2 linked regions of the Callithrix jacchus genome follow. The protein of the gene in region 1 interacts with the protein of each later gene in a pairwise test. Links are inferred from orthologs where the notes say so. Each region holds a gene or a part of one and is shown on either strand. Other genes may lie near its edges. The genes, in order: BPTF and MAZ.

What was found.
Region 2: the proteins of BPTF (region 1) and MAZ interact in a two-hybrid assay, tested with the Homo sapiens proteins (2 studies listed by BioGRID). The link is inferred for Callithrix jacchus from reciprocal best matches to the Homo sapiens genes BPTF and MAZ.

Annotation. Positions count from the first base shown.
Region 1 is NC_133506.1:90,439,235-90,446,704, forward strand, and holds the start of BPTF (nucleosome-remodeling factor subunit BPTF), read right to left. Parts: upstream 4,842-7,470; 5' UTR 4,618-4,841; coding exon 3,993-4,617; intron 1-3,992. UniProt on the Homo sapiens protein: Regulatory subunit of the ATP-dependent NURF-1 and NURF-5 ISWI chromatin remodeling complexes, which form ordered nucleosome arrays on chromatin and facilitate access to DNA during DNA-templated processes such as DNA replication, transcription, and repair.
Region 2 is NC_133513.1:29,700,351-29,707,892, reverse strand, and holds the start of MAZ (myc-associated zinc finger protein), read left to right. Parts: upstream 1-3,200; 5' UTR 3,201-3,511; coding exon 3,512-3,703; intron 3,704-3,787; coding exon 3,788-4,641; intron 4,642-5,055; coding exon 5,056-5,119; intron 5,120-5,257; exon of another isoform or gene 5,258-5,396; coding exon 5,397-5,568; exon of another isoform or gene 5,569-5,967; intron 5,968-6,077; exon of another isoform or gene 6,078-6,257; intron 6,258-6,377; coding exon 6,378-6,580; 3' UTR 6,581-6,601; intron 6,602-6,911; coding exon of another isoform or gene 6,912-7,072; 3' UTR 7,073-7,542. Other genes in the region: kinesin-like protein KIF22, read left to right, coding at 268-436, 827-894, 1,635-1,847, 1,939-2,121. UniProt on the Homo sapiens protein: Transcriptional regulator, potentially with dual roles in transcription initiation and termination.

The sequences.
Region 1 (7,470 bases):
TAAAGTATTCAAAACATTATTCAGCCATATGCCTTTAGCTTAAGCAAAACTAGATGACTTCAATTTTATACTAAAAAGTTATCATCCTTACATTTTTTCCATAAAAGGAAAACAATCTTCAATGAATAAACTTTGAAGACTTTAGTAATGTCAACTAATATCTTTGCATCAAGTTATATTGTCTATAAAATACTGAGTTATTTCTTATATTAGGAGTTATTTCTTATGTTAGGAATGTTACATTGTCAGTACTTAAGCCAACACTGTAAACTATAAAAATTAATCAAATTGCTCTAAACTACCAATGAAGTAAATTCCTCTTTCAGCTTTCACTGTTCAACAGGATTGAAAGTCATCAATCATACTTCTTTATGTGTTATTGGACTATTTTTAACCAGTTCTATAACTTTTTTTTCTTCCATCTACACATTACCTGACAGCCTTCCTCCGGGGAAGTACAGACTACAAACCAACGAAACTAGTACTTAGCCGAAACAACTCACTGCCATGCATTGTTAGCCATTCGAGGCAAGTGGGCATGTTCTAAAAGTTTAGAACGCAACATGTCACTTGGAGCGCGTGGTTGGTGAGGGGAGGGGAACTTAGAGGATGGGTTAATAAGTACAGCAATTCACCATGGCACACATATACCTATGCAACAAATCCGCACATTCTGCACATGTATCTCGTTTTTTTTTCTTTGTATAAGAAATAAGGGGAAAAAAGTCACATCCATTGTACTGTAATCTTAAAAAGGTAAGACATCCAAATTAACATCACAGCCAATAAAAGAAAATGCCTGGCAAGCAATATGAAATAGCAACTCAAAAAAAAAAATAACTCTTGCAATGAAAAACATTCACTGACCAAACTGTCCATCAAAACCCAATTAGAAAAAACACAAACAAAAACCAATTAGACCAATTTTTAATTTCCTAAGTCCAAAGATTTAGGAGTTATGACACCCACCGCAAAATTATCAAAATTTCATCTATTATAAGCTCTCATCTGCTAACAATTTATCCAACCAATCTCTGATGAGTACCTGTTAGATGCCAAACACTGTTATAGGAGCTGCAGGTGGAATAAGCTCAATACCTATCTCTAACGAGTTAATAATTCCATACAAAGAAGGACAGACAGACACCTGCTAGGCTACAACTATCGTTAAGAAAAACAAAAAGTCGGTTGGCCAGGCTCAGTGGCTTACACCTGTAATTGCAGCACTTTGGGCAGGGGGGGACATCACCTGAGGTTGGGAGTTCGAGACCAGCCTGACCAATATGGTGAAACCCCATCTCTACAAAAAATACAAAGTTAGCCAGGTGTGGTGGGGCATGCCTTTAATCCCAGCTACTCAGAAGACTGAGACAGGGGAATCATTTGAACCCAGGAGGTGAAGGCTGCGGTGAGCCAAGATCACCACATGTACTCTAGCCTGGGCAACAAGAGCAAAACTCTGTCTCCAAAAAAAAAAAAAAAGAAAGAAAGAAAGAAAAAAGGAAAAGAAAATGTCAGGCCAGTGCCGTGGCTCATGCTTGTGATCCCCAAACTTTGGGAGGCCGAGGTGGGCGGGTCATCCGAGGTCGAGAGTTCCAGAGCAGCCTGACCAACATGAAGAAACCCCATCTCTACTGAAAATACAAAATTAGCTGGGCATGGTGGAACATGCCTGTAATCCCAGCTACTCGGGAGGCAGGAGAAGAATCTGAACCCGGAAGGCGGAGGTTGCAGTGAGCTGAAATCACACCATTGTACTCCAGCCTGGGCAACAAGAGTAAAATGCTATCTCAAAAAAAGAAAAACAAAATGTCACAAAAGAATAAGTAAATAAATTTTTTTAAATGACACCTAGCTACAGATTGTAATTTAAGTCAGCATATGCGAGTTATCAATCCTATATATTATTTGCTAGGCCTTCAAATAGGTCTTAAAGTTAGCTGAACTGCCCTGCCAAAATGTCTCAGCTCTGTTTAATCAGAAACACTTCCTCCAGGGGTGTATGCAATTCAGTCTCCATGTTTCAATTATCGGTTCTGTGTATAATGAAGACCAACAAGTGATTTCTCAAGGTAAAAATTATTACCATAAAAGGTGTACTAGGCCAGGCACGGTGGTTCACACCTGTAATCCTAGCACTTTGGGAGGCCAAGGTGGGCAGATCACGAGGTCAGGAGTTTGACATCAGGCTGGCCAACACGGTGAAACCCCATCTCTACTAAAAATACAAAAATTAGCCAGGCATGCTGGCAGGTACCCGTAATCCCGGCTGCTCAAGAGGCTGACAGGAGAATCGCTTGAGCCCAGGAGGTGGAGGTTGCAGGGAGCCATGATCGTGCCATTGCACTCCAGCCTGGGCGACAGAGCAAGACTCCGTCTCAAAAACAAAAAGATGAGCTAAAATTAAGTTGGCAAGAATTTACCTGTAGTCCTTTCTACATCTAAGACATAAATACCTGACACTTGATTCATTCCCTTCATTCTCCACATAGTCCCCCCCAACCCTCACAAGCCAGGCAACCATTCTGACCATCAGGCAAAATAAATTACCTTTTTTCACTTTGTTAGGACAACTCATGTGGGTTTACATTTGGCTTAATATAATACTACTCTACTTCTCCAATAAGTAAGCATTTATAAAAAACAGAAACTTCTCAATTTAACCACTTCTACTATCCGAGTCTCTCTGAGAAAGACATGACACACCTTAATTCAAGGAAAAAAGGTCCTTTTTCCTCACAAATATTTCCTCATAAACTTTATTTTTCAAATGCTTTTAAAACCAGATTCTAATTTAATTAATCTAGATTTGCAAAATTATAAAGGAAAAGTCTTGCCAGTTGTTGCTTTGGTTATGTTAATTTCACAATTTAGTAAATTTCAACTACCTATTTAATACAAAGCAGTCTTTTGGAAGAGGGTGAGGGGTTTTTAACAAAATGCATCTCAGCACCAGCCTGGAGAAACTTTTTGTGAGAAAACAGAAGAGGGGTTACCATGGAGAAATTCATTACGGATTTCTGTGAGGGCTTTTTCCTCAGAAATAGAGTGAAAAGAAAAAGTCGTCGTGTAATAAATCTGATACTGATGCTACATGACTTAGAAAAAAGTTCATCTTCGGCAATTATGTCTAGAGGATCAACTACACATCTTGTGCAACAGGTGACACGAAACTGCATTTCCCAAGCCAGGCAAAGCGATCAAATGAGTTAAGACAAGCGTTCCTGCGGTTTTGTACTTTTATTTTTGACTTAACCAAAACAATTTTGAATCGGATGAATTACCAAATTTGGTTGGGTCTTGTTTGGCTTTCTATTTTGCTTTTTCATCAGCCATTTACCAGCAACTGTTGCATGAGCCCATTGGCACTCGAAGAATAAAAACAAACACGCAGGACCAGATAAAGTTCCCCTACTAACCCAAATGATCCATTTCCTTAACACAATTTTAAAACCACAGCTAGGGGTGTGAAAACAGGCATGTTTTTGTGTGTGTTTGTGTGCCACAATCTGCCCAAATCCTTAATTCCCTTTTAAGTAACAGATATATAATAAAAATCTGAAAGAAACCATATTAGAAATGCAAAGAGGTTTGCAAAACAAGAGGCTTCTTTCATTCCAGAAAACCACACCAAAACAAGGGAAGAAAAATGAATGCAATGGATACGTGTCTGCCAAAGTTTCAATCCTGCCCGGTGGAGACATCGCACTGGCACAAATTTTGAAGAGGAAAAAGAGGGGGTTGGGGGGAGAGAGAGCAAGCGAGTGTGGCCTGCAAACTGCAACAATGCAATCTCCATTTTGAACAATGCGCCTCTTTCCTCTTGTAAATCTAGTTTTTTGCCACTTGATGTGCCGTCGCATTTCCCCTCTGTTTGGGGGGAAGGCGGGGTTGGGGGGAGATCGGAGCAGGATGCACAGCACACGAGTGAGGAAGGGGGGAGGGCAGAGGAGGTGGGGAAGGAGTCTGCAGCAACTGGGCTGGGTGGGTACCTGGAGTGCTGCTGTAGGTACTATGGCTCCTGAAGCTGCTTTCCGTGCAGTAACTGGCGTCGTCGTCGTCGTCTTCCATCTCCTCCGGATAATCGGAGTCATCGTCGTCCTCCTCCATCTCATCCTCCTCGTCGTCCTCAGAATCTTGGGTCTCCTCGGCGTCGCCGTCCTCCTCCTCCTCCTCCTCCTCCTCGGAGACCATGTCCTCCTCTTCCTCCTCCTCCTCGCTCTCGTGGTCATCGTACACCACTTTGTTGACGGCCCTCCGGGCCGCGGTGGTCCGGGCCAGGTGGCCGCCGCCGCCCCCGCCCCCCGTCCTGCCTCCCCCGCCTCCTCGCCCCCCCCGGCCCGGGGCGCTGGTGCTGGGGGGGGCCGGCGGCGGCTGCGGCTTCCTCCGGCTACTGCTGCCCCCCCTGGGCGAGCTCAGCCGCGTCTTGGGCGCCACCTCAGCCTGGGCGGCGGCCCACCTGCCCCGACTACTGCCGCGGTGCCGCGAGCGGAGCCCCCCGATGGGTCCGGACGTGGGCGGCGGCGGCGGCGGCGGCGGCGGCGGCGGGGCCGGGGCGCAGCGCTCCGCAGCGGGAGCCGCGGGCTGCTTGGGCGGCCTGCCCCGCCGGCCCCTCATGTCGGAGCCGAGGCGGGGGGGAGAAGGGAAAGCGGAGGGGGAGGGGCGGGCGCAGGGGGGGCGGTGGGGAGCGCCGGGGCCGGGTGGGGAAGCCCGCGGGGCCGGGCGGGAGGGGCCCAGCCGGCGGAAGCGGGTGGAGGGAGAAGGCTCAATCCGAATTGCTGGGGCCCCACTCCGGATCGCCTTCAGCCGCCATCTTGTTTCTTCCCTCTCGCTCGGTGACTGGGGGAACCGACAGCGGCCGCAGGCCCGGAGCGCGGTCACGTGAGCTGCGCCGCCGACGAGCCTGGACGGAGCGAGGCGGCGCAGCGGCCGCTAGGGGGAGCGCGGGAGCGCCGAGTCGGGGGCGGGGAGCACGGGGCTTCTGGGTTCGGCGCAGCTAGGCGCAGCTGGACTTCGGGCGCGGGTGGCGCGGCAGAGACGGGTGCGCAGCTCGCGAAATGCCCCTGTGTCAAAGGCCTTCGGAGACCATAGTCTCCGCGGACCCCTGGCTGGAGGCCAAAGCCTGCCGGACCTCCTCCCCGCGTCTCCCCTTCCGCGGCTCGGAGAGAAAGGCAGGAGAGCCCCCAAATATCATTCCCCTCCCGGCCCCCTAGGGAAACTGATGCTGAAAGAGCCAGAGAAAAAGAAAAAAAGGTATAGGAGCGGGGCGGCCGAACGACCGAGGACACTGGGCAGCGCCACCGACGAAGGGAAATTCCTAGAATTTAGGAAACTCCTTACCTGGGAGCTGGAGTCCTGAAATTGACTCGAATGACAACTGCTCCACGCTGTGCCAGGAGCCACGCCCGGAGGGAGGGGCACTTTAAGGCCTATTCCGTGGAACCCCCACTCGGAAAGCCTCAGGAAACTCCAGAACGCAACTACTGCACGTTCCAGTCTCCCGCCACCCTCCCAGTGCCCCAGCTAGGACCGCTACCACCTCAGCAGGAACTTCCCTCTCCTCTGCAGTGTAAAACGAAATCCTGCCTAAAAACCTACTTCACGGTGTTATGTTTGTATTATCGGGAAATAACCTTGATTTATTTATCTGACAAGTCACTAAGTTTCAGCTTAGCCCAGGGGACGAATCATGATGACATTTCAGGCACCCTCAAACCTTATCACAGGGACTCAACCGTGAGTGGTTGAGGGCAGCTCTTCAGATAAGAGGTTTTATAAACTTATATGAATATTTGAGATAAGTGACAACCAAAAAGTAATTTAAAGAAAAATAGTTGGCCTGGCTCGGAAACTCATACCTGCAATCCCAGCCCTTTGAGAGACGGAGGCCGGAGGATAGCTTGCGGTCAGCAGTTCGAGACAACCCTGGGCAACATATCAGGACCTCGTCTCTAGAAAAAAATTGAAAAATTAGCCGGGCATGGTGGTGTGCACCTGTGGTCCCAGCTACATGAGAGGCTGAGATGGGGGGGATCGCTGGAGCCTGGGAGACAGATGTTGCAGTGAGTGGTGATTGCACCACTGCACTCCAGCCTGCGTGAAAGAGCAAGACCCTGTCTCAAAATTGAAAAAAAAGAAACAAAAATACCTAACAGGATTTCTGTCCACCAAATGGCTATTTCAATCTCGGCCTCGCCGTCCTCCTCCTCGGAGACCATGTCCACCTCTTCCTCCTCCTCCTCGTTCTCGTGGTCATCATACACCAAATATGAACACATTTATGTTCACAATTGTGTTCACATTTGTGAAATTTTTCACATGTGAAAGTTGTGTTCATATATGTGAAATGAAAATTAAAATACAAGCACTGATTGCCAAATATATGCATTCAGTACAATTTGATTGAGCTTCAAAAGTGACAAATGTGTATGTATCTCCAGAGACCAGGCGAGTTACGTAAGTCAATAAAGTAGGCAAGATAAAGACTTAGGCCAGTGGAAGTGCCTGTATTTTGTTTGAAGAGGGTGGCTCAGGCCTGTAATCCCATCACTTTAGGAGGCCAGGTGGGTGGATCAATTGAGGGACTTGGAGATTAGCCTGGGCAACATGGTGAAATCCTGTCTACTAAAAATACAAAAATTAGCTGGGCGTGGTGGCGGGTACCTGTAATCCCAGCTACCTGGGAGGCTGACAGGAGAATCGCTTGAACTCAGGAGGCAGAGGCTGCAGTAAGCCAAGGTGGTGCTACTGCACTCCAACCTGGGTGACACAGCAAGACTTGTCTCAAAAAAAAAAAAAAAAGTGGTAGTGAGGAAGTGAGAATTTTATTTGGAGACACATAAATTGAAACTTTATGTATATATCATCCCAGTGATTGTGGCTCACTGCAACCTCCTGAGCTTGAGCGATCCACCCACCTCCCTCCCAAAGTGCTGGTTTTATAGACCACAGCCAGCCACCCTTTTTAAACAAAATATGGTGCCAGGGCTGGGTGTGGTGGCTCATTCCTGTAATCCCAGCACTTTGAGAGGCCAAGGCGGGTCAACATGGCAAAACCCCGTCTCTGCTAAAAACTAGCCAAGCATGGTGGGGCGCCAGTAGTCCCAGCTACTTGGGAGACTGAGGCAGGAGAATTGCTTGAACCCAGGAGGTGGAAGTTGCAGTAAGCGGAGATCGCGCCATTGCACTCCAGCCGGGGCGACAGAACAAGACTCTGTCTCAAAATAAATAAATAAATAAAAATGGGCACTTCCATTGGCCAAAGTCCTCATCCTGCTCTACTTTATTGACTTTCATTCCCTGGTCCGTGGAGGCATATACACATTTGTCACCCTAGGGGCTCAATCAAATTGTATTGAATACATTTATTTGACATTAGTGCTTGTATTTTTTCATTTCACATAAGTATTCTATTTTCCTAACTAGATTGAAAGAAGCCGCTGGTGTGGTGGCTCACATCTGTAATCTTAG
Region 2 (7,542 bases), on another chromosome or scaffold:
ACCTAGCTCAATTGAGGACACTCTGCTTGAAGAGCCTTTCTCTTCAATATTTGCAAGAGCCTTGTTCCACCTCTGAGTAGCCCCCTGATCACAGAAAGCCCTTAATTATTGTAGGCTTCACCTGTCTCCTGGTAACTTCTCCCATTGGTCCTTGCTCTGCCCCCTGGGGCCTCAGGGCCTTGCATATACACCCTGGTAACTTATTGCCCTTCAAGCTGCCCGGGAGTTGGGTCTGGGTTATCACATCTCCCTGATCCTTTCCAACAGAGGCTTAAGATGAAGCAAAAAGAACTGGAGGCCAAGATGTTGGCCCAAAAGGCTGAAGACTCAAAGGAAAAGGAGAACCATTATCCCACAATGCTCCGGCCCCTTTCGCATCGCACAGTCACAATGGCAAAGCCCCTGAAAAAGGCTGTGGTGATGCCCCTACAGCTAAGTAAGTTTGACTCCAGGGGCTGGGGGATGCCAAGGCAGCTGAGATACCATAAGGGAGGAGGTGTTAGGAGCAGCTGTCTTCATGTCATTCATGTTCTCCCACCATATGCCAGTCCCAGGGAGGGCTGAGGAGGCTCTGAGGCAGGATTGGGGGTGTTCTGCCCTCAGGTGTTTAGTACAGTGGGATGGACAGACAAGTAGAGGGTTGATGACAATGCAAGAGTGACTGAGATACTTCAAATACAGGTATAAAAAAGGTCATGTGGAGACACAACAGGTTAACTCACGGTGGAGGGGAACTGGGGAATCAGAATTGGAAGAACTGAGGGGCTACCAGGGAGGATGAAAAGTAGCCTCTGCCCTGACTCCAATTATCAATTCCTGCTTTCAGTTCAGGAGCAGGCAGCATCCCCAAATGCCGAGATCCATATCCTGAGGAATAAAGGCCGGAAGAGAAAGGTGAAAGTAGCTGGGGGCTTAGGCTACACCTGGACCTCAGAAATAAGGGGGAGTAGGCTCTAGGGGGAGGAGCATTGGTCTTGGAGTTAACCCACTGGGCGATGGCCGCCAGCTATTTACAGGCCTCGACTTGCTTACCCCTGGAATGTGGCGATGGATGGCTCCTTGCAGGGCATTTAGGGTGAAAGGCAGTGATGTGGATGTACCTAGCAGAGCGGATGTTCCCTTCTTGATAGCTACTGTCAGTTAACTACTTCACTAGGTCCACTGTGTAGCCTGACTTCTGCCATCTACAAGCTTAAAAGGGAAAACTTAGGGAACTATGACCTAAACACTCAAGAATGAAACCACACACATGTGCGCACACTGGCATGCACAGAGTTGAACACCACTACGACTGAAAAGCTGAGATGGTTGAGGGAGGTATCATTTATTCATATTTTCTCCCATGTACTTCTGAAAGAGCTTATTCTTTCCTTTTTAGAGATGAGAAACCAGATTGAATAGCTTATTTTGTTCTTTACATTCATTAACTCACTTGACCGCCACAGTAACTCCATGAGAAAGATGCTAGTACTTGGTATCAGAATTAACCCAGAGTGACCTGAGGGCAGGATTTTGGATACACTTGAGAGGAAGAGGCTGGAGCACGGGAGGTAGCTGGTGCTGGGCTAGTCTTGGCAGAGGAGCCCAAAGCACTTGGCTGCCGTGCATGTCACTCACCACCCTTTGCCTCCCAGCTGGAGTCCCTGGATGCCTCAGAGCCTGAGGAGAAGGCAGAGGACTGCTGGGAGCTACAGATCAGCCCGGAGCTTTTGGCTCATGGGCGCAAAAAAATACTGGATCTGCTGAACGAAGGCTCAGCCAGGGATCTCCGCAGTCTTCAGCGCATTGGCCCGAAGAAGGCCCAGCTCATCGTGGGCTGGCGGGAGCTCCACGGCCCCTTCAGCCAGGTAACAGCCCCCTGAGGACTGGGGGAGGGCGGGGGATGGGGGAGACCAGGCACCCCCGAGACACCATCTCCTACCGATCCTGTCCCGCCAGGTGGAGGACCTGGAACGCGTGGAGGGCATAACAGGGAAACAGATGGAGTCCTTCCTGAAGGTGAAGTCACAGCCCTGCCCCTCGTTTGCCTGTCCAGCACCCCGCGCCCTTCTAACATCGCTGTCCCCGCCCTCCTGTGTTGCAGGCGAACATCCTGGGTCTCGCCGCCGGCCAGCGCTGTGACCTGTCTTGACCGCCGTTTCCTCACTCCGCCTTTTTTAAAAATCCTTGTATAACCCCGTGTTTGTAAATACAGTTTTTGCTCCGGTGCTTCCGCCTGATTTTTGGGGCTGCGAGGGCGGGACCGGGGTGTGACCGCCCCAGGGTGGGCCGCGAGTGCTGCCGTCGGCTCCGCTGGGCGCCATCTTCGGGGAGCCACTTAGCCCTGGATTGTAAATAAACCTCTGGAGCAGGGCGAAGAGGACGGTGGCCGGCAGGATGCAAAAAACGAAAGTCGAAGCTTGAGCGCAACCGTTAGGCGGGCGCGCTCACGGATTAGCCCCGCCCCGTCCGTGCCCCCGACGCGCGCTCCCCCATTCTCCCGCTTAGCAACGACAGCAGCCTTGTGCGCGTGCGCGCGAAATAACGGCCGCTGGCGGAGGGAGGGGGGTGGAATCGTTGGAGGGGGGAAGAGGAGAGAAGCCGCCGGTCTCCCGCGCGCCCACCACCTGCGCCATCGTCAGCCAATCAGCAGCCGTCTCAGGGGTCTCGCGCTCGGGGCGACTCGGGCTGCTGGGTGGCTCCCCCGTCCCTCCTCCCGCCAGTCCTCTCGCGCCTCCCCCTCCCGCTGGCCCTGCGCGCACCCGCGCTCGCGCTCGCGCCCGCTCCAGCCTCTTGTGTGTCCTCGCGCCCCCCGCCCGCCCTCCCCGCGCGCAGTGTGCTCCGCTCCCCCCACCCTCCTCCTCCCCCCGCCCGCCCCGCGCGCCTCCTCCCCGGGTTCCCCCTCCCCCACTGCCGCCTCCTCCTCCTCCCGCCCCAGGGTGAGCGCGAGCCACCTCCCTCCCTCCCTTCGCCATGGATCCCAGCAACTGGAGCAGCTTCATCTTCCAGGTAACAACCCCCTCCCCCCGCCCCCACCCCCCTGCCCACACCCCCTCCTGCCCGCCCTCCCTCCCGTCCCACCCCCCCTCCGCGCGCCCGGTGCGCGCGCAGCTGTCCCCCTCCCTCCCTCGCGCCCTCCCCCGCCCTCCCCGAGGCGCCGGCTGGGCGCGCGCGCGGCGGGGGCCGAGGCTGCTCCCTCGCTCCCCCCACCCCGCCCCGCCAGGCTCCAACCGCCGCCGCCGCCGCCGCCGCCGCCCGGGCCCCCGCCCCCGGCCCCGGCCCCGGCCCCGCGGGGCCTCCCGCCCCCACTCAGGGGGCGTCGCCGCCGCCGTCGCCGCGGCGCTCCGCGGCCCGCAAGGCGCCCTCCTTCCCTCCCGCCGGCCGGGGTGCGCGGGCGGCGGGGCGGCCCGCGGGCCATGCGTTCGGCGCGGCCCAGGCCGGCCGGCCGGGGGCGGCGCCCCGAGCCCGGGCCCTGTGCGGCCCGCGCCCCCGGCCCCCGCTGAGCCCCGGGGGCCCCGCTGCGGCCGAGGCCATGTTCCCGGTGTTCCCTTGCACGCTGCTGGCCCCCCCCTTCCCCGTGCTGGGCCTGGACTCCCGGGGGGTGGGCGGCCTCATGAACTCCTTCCCGCCACCTCAGGGTCACGCCCAGAACCCCCTGCAGGTCGGGGCTGAGCTCCAGTCCCGCTTCTTTGCCTCCCAGGGCTGCGCCCAGAGTCCATTCCAGGTGAGTAGGGCCCGCCGCGGCGGCCAGGGCCGGGGGGGGGCGCCCGCCGGCACCCGCGGCCCACTCGGCGCCTTGTTTCCGCAGGCCGCACCGGCGCCCCCGCCCACGCCCCAGGCCCCGGCGGCCGAGCCCCTCCAGGTGGACTTGCTCCCCGTGCTCGCTGCTGCCCAGGAGTCCGCCGCGGCCGCTGCGGCCGCCGCCGCCGCTGCTGCTGCCGTCGCTGCCGCGCCCCCGGCTCCGGCCGCCGCCTCCACGGTGGACACAGCGGCCCTGAAACAGCCCCCGGCGCCCCCTCCGCCACCCCCACCCGTGTCGGCGCCTGCGGCCGAGGCCGCGCCCCCCGCCTCCGCCGCCACCATCGCCGCGGCGGCGGCGGCCACCGCCGTCGTAGCCCCAACATCGACGGTTGCCGTGGCCCCAGTCGCTTCTGCCTTGGAGAAGAAGACAAAGAGCAAGGGGCCCTACATCTGCGCTCTCTGCGCCAAGGAGTTCAAGAACGGCTACAACCTCCGGAGGCACGAAGCCATCCACACGGGAGCCAAGGCCGGCCGGGTCCCCTCGGGTGCTATGAAGATGCCCACTATGGTGCCCCTGAGTCTCCTGAGCGTACCCCAGCTGAGCGGAGCCGGCGGGGGAGGGGGAGAAGCGGGTGCCGGCGGCGGCGCGGCCGCAGTGGCTGCTGGTGGCGTGGTGACCACGACCGCCTCGGGGAAGCGCATCCGGAAGAACCACGCCTGCGAGATGTGCGGCAAGGCCTTCCGCGATGTCTACCACCTGAACCGACACAAGCTGTCGCACTCGGACGAGAAGCCCTACCAGTGCCCGGTGTGCCAACAGCGCTTCAAGCGCAAGGACCGCATGAGCTACCACGTGCGCTCACATGACGGCGCTGTACACAAGCCCTACAACTGCTCCCACTGTGGCAAGAGCTTCTCCCGGTGTGCACGGGGCCTCGGCCGCCCACTAGGCCATGGGGAGGGAGGGACGCGACAGAGGTGGCCTGGCTGTGGCTGGCGGGGAGGGAGGTGGCTGCTGAGGCTGGGGAAGGGGAGCTCCTCCTAGGGCGGAGGGAGGAAGCCTCTCTGGGTTACCAGGGAGCAGGGGGTGGTCCTTTGCCGAGGAGGTGGGCCTTGGGGTTGACGGAAGCTTCTCGTGGGAGGTGGCGGCGGAGGCGGAGGCGGAGGCGGCCGCGGCTGCCGGGCTTGGAGGGGAGGGATTTCCTGCCGAAGTGGCGCTGTGACGGCCCGGGCTCCGGGAGGAGGCGCAGGGATCCTCGGAAAGGCCTGTGGTGCTGTTTGGCGGTTTTGGGGCTCACCGCTTCTGCCCTAACCCCAACCCCAACGTGTCCCCAGGCCGGATCACCTCAACAGTCACGTCAGACAAGTGCACTCAACAGAACGGCCGTTCAAATGTGAGGTAGGAAGCCCGCCGCCTCCAGTCCTGGTTTTCATGATTTTGATCCTCATAGTAGCTGTCTGAGTTCAGCCTCTCAGACCCCCTTTTTCTCTCTCTTCTTTTTGCCTTTTCACTCCATTTTCTCATTCCTTCTTCAAGGCCTCGTCATCTCACTCCCGTTTCCTACAGATCAAAGATCCCCAAGGCTCTGATTCCTTTAACCTCTTGCTCCCCCCTCCCCAGCCCCCGAAGCTTTAACTCTCCTGTGACACCCCCCACGCCCCTCCCCCCTCCCCAGAAATGTGAGGCAGCTTTCGCCACGAAGGATCGGCTGCGGGCGCACACAGTACGACACGAGGAGAAGGTGCCATGTCACGTGTGTGGGAAGATGCTGAGTTCGGCTTATATTTCGGACCACATGAAGGTGCACAGCCAGGGCCCTCACCATGTCTGTGAGCTCTGCAACAAAGGTACATGCTGAGTGAGGGCTGCCGGGAGGGCCAGGGGCAGAGGGTGGGCGCCTGGCCAGACGCCCTGCCACTGATAGGAATTAAGGGTGCTGTAGCCAAGAACTCGTGGCGTCTAGAGTCCTCCAAGAGGTCAAGGGAGCAGCGGAGGGGGGACACCTGAATGAGCGTCGTTAGGCTCTAGGAAGTCCTGGCTGGAGGAGAAGATCTGCCGGAGAGGTTGAACCTCCTGGGCATGTGTAGGGAGAGCGGGAGTGGAACTTGGCTGCTCTGGGTAAGGAGTAGTCAGGGAAGCCAGTTCCAGGGGTCACAAGGCAAGGTTTCCGCCAGGCAGCCACAAGGTCTTGTCTCCAGCTCCTGGGGCAGTTGGAATACACGGGCTTGGCTTTACCAGCACATATCCTGCCCGGGTAGCAGAGAAAGCTGCCTTCAGTCAGACTCACCGACTAACTGGGTTGAGACTGGGAGGCACTGGAGGGAAGGGGACACAGCCGTCTCTGCTGAGGGTCAACCTTATAAGTGGCTAGGAGTCAGTGTCCTGTCATCTTGGGAGAGGTCTCCCGGCCATGAAGAGTGAGCTCTGTAGGTACCCAGGCTGAGAGGCAGGCACCACGCAAGTCAGGCCCCAGGCTCAGGGAGGGGCTGTACCCACCAGTCCCAGCAGAGCAGTTGGCCCCAGGCTACCAAGGATGCTGTGGGAGGAGGACAGGGCCATCTGAGGAGGGCATCCCCCGCCTAGGAGATCAGCCCCGTCTCTGGGGTCTCCGTCTCTGGGCTGACCCCCGCCCCATCCCAATCCACCCCCCCAATAGGCTTCACCACGGCAGCATACCTGCGCATCCACGCGGTGAAGGACCACGGGCTCCAGGCCCCGCGGGCTGACCGCATCCTGTGCAAGCTGTGCAGCGTGCACTGCAAGACCCCTGCCCAGCTGGCCGGCCACATGCAGACCCATCTGGGGGGGGCCGCCCCCCCTGTCCCAGGAGACGCCCCCCAGCCACAGCCCACCTGCTGAGGGGGACCCCGCACCCACCAGGCAAGGCGTGGGGCATGGCTGGGGGGCGGGATGGGGGGTGTGGGGGACAAGGGGGCTCAAAGGGCCCAATAGGGGATCTCAGGAAGGCAAGGGATGCCCATGTGCCACTCAGGCTAGGGAGACTTCCAGGCACAGGGAAGACCCTTGAGAACTCCTCTGTCTGGGTGAGGATGCAGGCTGAGGCCTTTGGGGACCAGATAGGAAGTGAGCAACGGCTGTGTCCCAGGGGAAGCAGGCTGGGAAGGTCTGGGGTGAGGGCAAGGCTCTTGCCATTCAGATTGCGCTGTGATCCGTGGTGTTTCTCCTGCAGGTACTGGTGAGGTTTGTCCAATGGCGGCGGCAGCAGCAGCGGCGGCAGCGGCGGCAGCTGCGGCAGCGGCAGTAGCAGCTCCTCCCACAGCTGTGGGCTCCCTCTCGGGGGCAGAGGGGGTGCCTGTGAGCTCTCAGCCACTTCCCTCCCAGCCCTGGTGAGCTCCAAGTTGGTTGTGGGGGAGAGGGGAAAATGGAGTAGAGTCCCTTGGTACAGGCTCCTCTCCCCCCTCTTTTTCCACCAACTCCTCACTACTTCCCCACCAACCAAGGAGCCTCCGGAAGGAAAGGAGGAAGAAATGTTTTAGGGGAATTCGCTAGGTTTTAAATGATTTGTTTCTCCTGCACCTTTCTTCTGTCAGACCTGACCCCACACAAACCTGTCCCCTCGGTTGTGTTGAAGTCCCGTGGACAGTGGGCAGGGGTGGCAGAGGACAGGAGCAGCCACTGCCCGTACCCCCTCTCCTCTCTGTAAGCCTGTGCCCTGTCCTCCCAGGGACTTGTGAGCCTCTTCCCTCAACGGTTCTCTTACTCTCCTTCCAATCCTCTCTCCTTGCTGTCTGCTGCCCCTCCCTGGGGAGTTGGTGCTTTCTTTTCCTTTTTCTTTTTCTTTTTTTTTTTCCAGGGGGAGG